Linked DNA regions of Mus musculus. The protein of the gene in region 2 purifies or fractionates together with the protein of the main gene of each other region. This does not show direct contact. Links are inferred from orthologs where the notes say so. Each region holds a gene or a part of one and is shown on either strand. Other genes may lie near its edges.

Region 1 (3,817 bases), on a different chromosome or scaffold from region 2:
AAATTTGTTCCAGTGTTTGCTCTAGTTTCCAGGTTTGGAACTTCTGGGTCATGTGGTAATTCCATGTTTAACTCAATAAAAAAGCAAACATTGCATCTTAAAGAAACATCCCTCAGTACTGGAGGCTGATGGTGACAGGGACATGCCCTCCTGATTCTAGGGCAGCTGCATTTATACTTGGTAACTGCAGTAACTGTGAGCACCAAGCTAGCAAGTGTGCAAGAGGTGTTTGGTAGATGGATGGATGAACTATGGTGGATGGATGGATAGTTGAGTGAATTGTGTAGAAGGATACATAAGTAGATGGATGGGCGGGTTAGTAGCTGCCTGCCTGGCAGGCTGTTGGCTAGATGAAAAGGTGGATAAATGAATGAGTGGGTGACAGCAGGGGTGGGTGGAGGGTTGATTAATTGAAGGGTAGATGAGCAGATAGGTTGGTGGGTAAATGGATGGATGGATGGATGGATGGATGATGAGTGGATGGGTAGGTGACTAGATGGATGGACGAATGGATGGATGGGTGGGAAGGTGAATAACGAATGGTTAGATACTAGATGAATGGAAGGTAGATAAGAGCATAGGTGGGTGGGTAAATGGATGGGAAGATGAGTCCCTGGATGGGTTACTAGCTTAAGTAGCTCTTGAGAGCAGCGTCTGCTGGGAAGAAGTGTGCTCCTGAGGATAGCTCCTTGCAAGGTCTCTTCTAGGCTTCTCTCCTGCCCACGACATCAGGCTGGACCCCCGAGTTCCCAGACCCCCATGGGTGTCTGCATTGTTTGCTCAGGAGCTCTTGTCTGTTTGCAGGGTGACATCCAACAGTTGCTTTTCGTCTCTGACAACCGAGCTGCCTATGACTACTGTGAGCACTACAGCCCCGACTGTGACACTGCGGTCCCTGACACACCTCAGTCACAGGACCCTAACCCGGATGAATATGTGAGTCATCTCTGGCTGGGTTCATGGTGGCAGCACAGGCGGAACCCCAGGATGGTTCAGAGTCGGCAGGGTTGTGGTTATAAAGGATTCTGGAAGCCAGAGGACTGAGTTTTCAGCAAACTGTAGGGGAAGCAGTGTATGATGTCTGACCCACCTTACCACAGAGGAGCTCCCCCTGACCCACACATACCTTGATCAAGTCTCTCAAGGGAGTGTCATCAACAACTGTGTCCCTTAGCTCTCCATATGCATCCTTAGATGAATGCAGACAGACAGTTGTCCTTTGCCCTCAGCCTGTGGCCTCAGTTGTTTTTTAGAGCTCGGTTGATTCCCTCATGGGCACCTGAAATTTTTTAATAGGGCATGCCCGGCCCTGTGTATATTGGACATGACTCCGAGAAACAGTAAGTCTGAAGGGCCGCCATGTCTGTCCCCTTGGTCCCTCTCCTCATTTCCCACTCTGCTGGGTCACTCTCCTCATCCCCTGTGCCCTCCTCCAGCCCCCCCCCCCCAGGTCCCTGGTTTGTATTTGAGGACAGAGTGCCTGTTAGTGACTGTGAACCCCTTTCACTGGGCACCCATGCTTTGGGGCTAAAGGTGAACTTTGCTGGTCTGGGTTTGATTTTTATGGGTCACATGTAACCACTTTTAGGGCTCAGCTTTTGCTGACCTCTCAGTAACGTGTGGGGTCATCCTTCCCCATGCTAGGCTTCTGGGGAGAGGCTGAGGCAAGAGCCCTATCTGAGGACCCCTGGGACTTGACAGTGCCTTATGGCACTGCTTTTTCACCCAAGTAGGACAAGGTGGTTGATAGGCTGCTTTGGTAATACATTCCTTTTCTTCTCCACATGGGCACCATTGACCTCAGTACCCAGAAGGAGAGGGTGAGACCTATTACTATGAGTATCCATATTATGAAGACCCTGAAGACCCGGGAAAGGAGCCTGCCCCTACTCAGAAGCCAGTGGAAGCTGCCAGAGAAACCACAGAGGTTCCTGAGGTCTGATCTGGACTGGGCTGGGCTAGGGAGGTTCCTGGTTCCCCTAGGCCACAGGGTTGAGAGCCAGAGGCTATGGGCATTATGGCACACTAATAGGACATTGTGGACCTATAATCCTATCCCTTGGGACGATGAAGTAGGAAGTAGGAACTCATGAAGTAAGCATGAGTTCTGGGCCAGCCTGGGCTACAGGGTAAGAGGCCACCCCATCTCCCCCCCGCCCCCTCATACACACATGGAAGCTTAAGCTGTTGTTGGATATCTGGAAATATCCTGATATGTCACTAGATGGTCCTTCACCAATTCATGACATCTTGGTACCTGATCTCACACACACACAGACACACACACACACACACCACAATGGTTGCCTCCCTCATTTTCTCTGCCTTCCAGGAATGGAGGGCCTTCGTGTAACTCCATGCCCACACTTTGCTGATCACTGATGTGCTAGGAGGATGCTGGCTTGGGAGCTTGGGAAATCCTGGATCAGGTATCTGACTGCCTCTTTCTACACTCTGCCCACAGGAGCAGACCCAGCCCCTACCCGAAGCCCCTACAGTGCCTGAGACCAGTGACACGGCTGACAAGGAGGACAGTCTAGGGATCGGGGACTATGACTACGTGCCCCCAGATGACTATTACACTCCACCCCCATATGAAGACTTTGGATATGGCGAGGGTGTGGAGAACCCTGACCAGCCCACCAACCCCGACTCAGGGGCTGAGGTCCCCACCAGCACCACTGTTACCTCCAACACCTCCAATGTAATTGCCTTCCTTCCAGTTTGTATTGATCTCGGGGGCAGGGGTGGAGAGGGGGCAAAGGCTTCGTGGCTCTGGGTCACTGCTGAGCACGAACCTCCTTGGGTGGCCTTCCTTGTCCACACTCCACACCCTGGCTCCCGAGTCCTCAGTAGCAGGGTTGAGTGTGGTTTAGAAGCCATTGGCTTTTCTGAGTTTATTTCAGTTCCCCCTGAAAAATGGGTAGAATATCTCCGTGGGCTCTGCATTCTTGCTCTCAGGGTAGCTCACATAACACTGTAGTTTTGGGATACAGGAGTTCCATCCATGAACATCACTGGTGGTTACCCATGCTACCAGAATAAAGCTCATAGCCCACTGTGTTCTTCACTATTGGAAAGAGCCCCAGTTTCCAGTGTGCAAACTCTTAATCAGCAACTGAACGCAGACCTCCCCAGGGATAGAGTCAGCTTTGAGGGACACTGTTGCTCCTTCCTGCCCTGACTTGTTATAGTGTCTTAGGTAGCCTGGAGAACCATCCCCATGGTGGCCGGGAGGTATGCAGAGAACCTTTGGGGGCCACAGGTCTTCCCTCATGGAATCCCCCTTGGACTTTATCTTTAGATGTTCTGTGGTGGGGCCACTGACAGCTCTATGCAGGAAGTGCTAGGCTCAGTGCCTGCTAGGCAGAGCCTGCATGTGGCCAGGCAGAGCCTGCATGTGGCCAGCCTCCCAGAGTGACTCTGCCACTTCCCTCCCTTAATCTGCAGCCAGCTCCAGGAGAAGGGAAGGATGACCTGGGCGGCGAATTCACCGAGGAAACCATCAAGAATCTAGAGGAAAACTACTATGACCCGTACTTTGACCCCGACTCCGACTCCAGTGTCTCTCCATCAGAGATAGGGCCAGGCATGCCCGCTAACCAGGACACCATCTTTGAGGGGGTAAGAGACTCAGCTTCTCTCTGCATCCCAGGGCATCTAGGTGGTGAGAAAGGGCCAGCGCTTTTAGAAGTCTGAGGGTGACTGAGTGAGGCAAGAGTGACATGGGCTGCCATGCATTTCAACTATTAATTAATTAATTAACTAGCTAGAGACACGTTCTCACTATGTAGCCCTGGCTGTCCAGAAACTCTCT
Region 2 (3,817 bases):
TAATGTTCTTTGAATTCACTGGTAGAAGATTCTCAGATATTGCATGGATGAAATCTTTCAATGTATGAGTATGGTTTGATTTAGCCTCTAACACCTTGTCATTTACCACAAGTATAGGCAAACTATGGGAGAATGAGCGGCATGTAGAATATATCAGACCTGCTGATTCAAAGGCTTAGATATCTGGTTGACCCAGAATTCAAGAGAGCCACTTGAATTGTAAGCTACCAAGAGCTGTGGGTTGTGAGACACAAGCAAAAACTGCTTACTGCAGGTCATTCTGTGAGGCTCCAGGAGCCCTCCACAACAGTGGGGGCACAAGAACAATGGGAAAGGACAGAGGTTAGAGGGTAAGAAAGACAAAAGCAACCTCACTCACCGGTCCTTGAAGAAGAAGATCTCACCACGGATCTGAGCGATGCCATCAAAGACAATGTCCTGTTTGCAGATCTCCGGAGTGACAGGTCCCAGTGTTGGTGTGGGGCCAGTACCAGTGTCAGTATCAGCATCGGGGGAGGGCCCTAGGGAATGGGGAGACACCTGACCCTAGACTCTACCCAGCAACAAGGCTTCTCATCGCCAGGCTCAACCCCTGTACTACTCACTTAACTGGCTAAGGCTACAAAAAAAAAAGAGCAGTCTACCTGGGTAGAGCCTGAGCTTAGAGAAGGGACCAGACGCTTGACTCTTGTGTGGTCTCTTACTTTAAGAACAGAGAAGGCTGGCTGGTGCCAGTAGAGGTGTGGCACTTTCTTAAGGATTTGCTTTTGTACTCCTCAGGCTGCGCAACAGTGGAGTCTAGGGAGGCGAACAGTTGCATCATTCCAGCTGGCATGTAGCCTTAGCGGGACTGCAATGTCACCCATCAATGTCTGCATCTCTGATTCTTTCCCAAGTTCAGAGTCCGTGAGCTTCCCCATCCAGGTTTCACTTTCACCACGCGCTTGGTCCAGGAACCACTAGGACTATTATATAATTGATTTCTTTTTTTAAGAAATTGACTGGCTGCTTTTTAGCCTCTAACCTCACTGAAAGCGCAGACAATAGGCCATCATTGGTGGCAGGAAGCAGTTATTATGTTTCTATGGCAAAATGAAACATGAGCATCTTACAAGAACTAGTAACACCCATTTCACGCCAGAGAAAATTCTGCCCTGTAGGCAGCTCCCTCTTCTGGATCCTAAACCCTACCTGGCTGCTGAAACCTAGTTGATATTGGGCTAAACGCCTTTCTTAGCCTCAGTTCATATACCTAGCACATGGAAATGGGAACCAAGAGAGGCATGGATAACTAGAGTCTAGAAAGGACAGAGCTGTCTCAGAAGCCCTTTGGAGCATTACTCTAAAGCCTGAGGACCAGGCACGAGCCATGTCCCCTGATGATGTCCCTGGCCATTCTAACTAGATGAGGTCTGGCATTTTCCACTCCTGCGTCTTCCCACCCAGGCTGTGGGATCCTCGAAGACACCTCTCCCCTCAGAGTCCCACAAGCTGCGGCTTACCATAGAGCTCCTGGATCCCCTTGATGTCATCATGGGATAATCGGAAGTTCTTGGTGTAGGTGTAGATCGGGGCCATCAGAGCTCCAGGGTCCTGAGAGTGTTCCAGCCCCATGGCATGGCCGAACTCATGGGCTGCCACGAGGAATAGGCTATATCCTGAGTGCCAAAGCAGGGACATGAGGTGGAATTCAAGAGAGAAATAAGACAGGCATCAAGACTTGCTTAATAGGAAGGAGGTTTGGGGGAGGACAACTCCAGGGTAGAGCTAAAAGTTCTAGAAGTGGCACATATTGGTTTTTCCCTTGTGCTGAGAGTGCTGTTGCTTTTGAGTAGGCCAGTCAGCATCCTCTTGCCTTTTCCCAATGATGGCTGCATGTGGTATGAGGGCGAGAGAAAGGGGCATCTGCTTCAAGTCCCATCTGTGAAAAAGCATGCTTTTTAGCCCTTTGTGAGAGTTGACACAAAACCTGCTGCTCAGGATCTCAAAGAAGAAGAGTGAGAGGGAGAGTCTGGCCTCAGGGTTTCACCATTTCTTCCCAGGGAAGGAAGTAAAAGCCACTCCCCTGGGAATGCAGCTTGATGATATAACATTCGCCTAGTGTATGCCAGCAAATCCAGTCCCATGGGGAAACTGAAACAAAACATATTCATGCCTGTATGGCTTGCTCAGGCTTGGCCATGGAGAGCAGGCAAATCGTGTGCCACACCCTCCGTGCTGTGACTCAATTATCCCACAAGCCCCACTACAATAACAATAACAATAACAACAACAACAACAATAATAATGATGATGATGATGATAGTATAAAATAGAATTCTGTCCCTGGTTACCTAGGACATGCCATCTTATTTGCAGACATCACCAAAATGGAAGCCAGAGCCAAGAATGATATATCTAACTATAATTCCAGTGCTTGACATGCTGAAGTAGGGTTGTGAGCTTAAGACGAATCTGGGCTGCATAGTGAAACCCTGTCTCAAATAGATGAATCAGTTAAAATGCTACCCTCATTGCAGCCAACGAGCCCTTAACCCACTGTGGATTACAACCTCTTAGGAAGAGAGACAAAGGGACCGATAGGGACCAGAGAGTGACATATAATGGCTGAAGCGGGCAATAAGGTGATACAGGCATGGGGGTGGGGGTAGGGGGATGGGGAGAGACACTTTGGTTGTAAACTTCCAGCCTTCTGACTAGGGGAAGAGTCAGTTTATGTTGTCCTAAGCCACCAGTATATTATGCTTTGTACGTGGCAGCCTGAGTGGCCACAAACTCTTCACATGGGTGGAGATCTCACCATAGGCAGAAGTTGCACCAAGCAGGGGTGTCAGACTATCTCCTATGATAGCCTTTGGCGGGCAAGAAAAAATTCCTAAGAAAACCTCATTTGGCCAGCATTCACCAAAGTGCACCTCAATACAAGAGAAAAGCAATCATCACAGAAGGAAGAGTGTCCCGGTGAGCATCAACTCTCCATGCCACACAGCCTAGAGTCATCGTTAAAACTCTCAGTTGACTGTTGATCTTCATCAGGTTGGTCTCCAGGCATGCTGCCGAGGAACTCTCTTATTATTAATAGATGCAGAGAGCATAGCTTACTGCAGCTCCGTTCCCTACGCATATACCCTAGGCTGTACAGGAAAGCAAGCTAAGCGTCAGCCCGTGAGCTAGCTACATAGTGCTATCCTGCCATCAGCCTGTGAGCTAACTACACAGTGCTATCCTGCCATGGTTCTTGCCTCCAGGTTCTCACCTTAAGTTCTTGCCCTGACTTCCCTCAATCTGGGAGTGTAAGCCTCTTTGTAGATCTTTCCTCCCTAAGTGTTCATTCACAACAACAAAAATCAATCTAGAATAGAAACCCACCTAATTCTGCCAGATCCTGGACCCATCCCCTTGCCTAAACATTTTGGGCTACCTGAAACACTGAAGTCCTGGGCATCTAGGCAGTGAAGGTTGCCCAGCTCAAAGACCAACAGTAAGGTCTTTCAATGACTCCTGCTAGTGACAGTCCTGTCTGGAAGGGTAGCTGGAGTGGTAGGTAAGAAATGCAAAAGCAGGGCTGATCCCCACTCAGGGTCAGTGCCTAGTCATCTCATTTTGAAGCTGTATGAATGTCCACCTAAACTGTCTGGACCTAAGCAGGGAACCTGTCTTCCCTGCCGGAGCAGAGTTTCCTCTGCTCTGAAGGCTAGATCTGAAGGTACAATGGGGGTATCTTGTTTAGAGACAATATCTATGCTTGATCCATCGTCTGGACCTCAGGTTGTTCCAGGTCAGGTGTGGAGGGGTGTCCAGTGTCTCTACCCAAAGG

What was found.
Region 1: the proteins of Mmp2 (region 2) and Col5a1 purify together in Homo sapiens (co-immunoprecipitation; 3 studies listed by BioGRID and IntAct, counting the BioPlex papers as one, with this or other methods). This does not show direct contact. The link is inferred for Mus musculus from reciprocal best matches to the Homo sapiens genes MMP2 and COL5A1.

Annotation. Positions count from the first base shown.
Region 1 is NC_000068.7:27,948,823-27,952,639, forward strand, and holds part of Col5a1 (collagen alpha-1(V) chain precursor), read left to right. Parts: intron 1-804; coding exon 805-936; intron 937-1,804; coding exon 1,805-1,936; intron 1,937-2,464; coding exon 2,465-2,704; intron 2,705-3,450; coding exon 3,451-3,624; intron 3,625-3,817. UniProt on the Homo sapiens protein: Type V collagen is a member of group I collagen (fibrillar forming collagen). It is a minor connective tissue component of nearly ubiquitous distribution. Type V collagen binds to DNA, heparan sulfate, thrombospondin, heparin, and insulin.
Region 2 is NC_000074.6:92,837,094-92,840,910, reverse strand, and holds part of Mmp2 (72 kDa type IV collagenase preproprotein), read right to left. Parts: intron 1,659-3,817; coding exon 1,503-1,658; intron 522-1,502; coding exon 380-521; intron 1-379.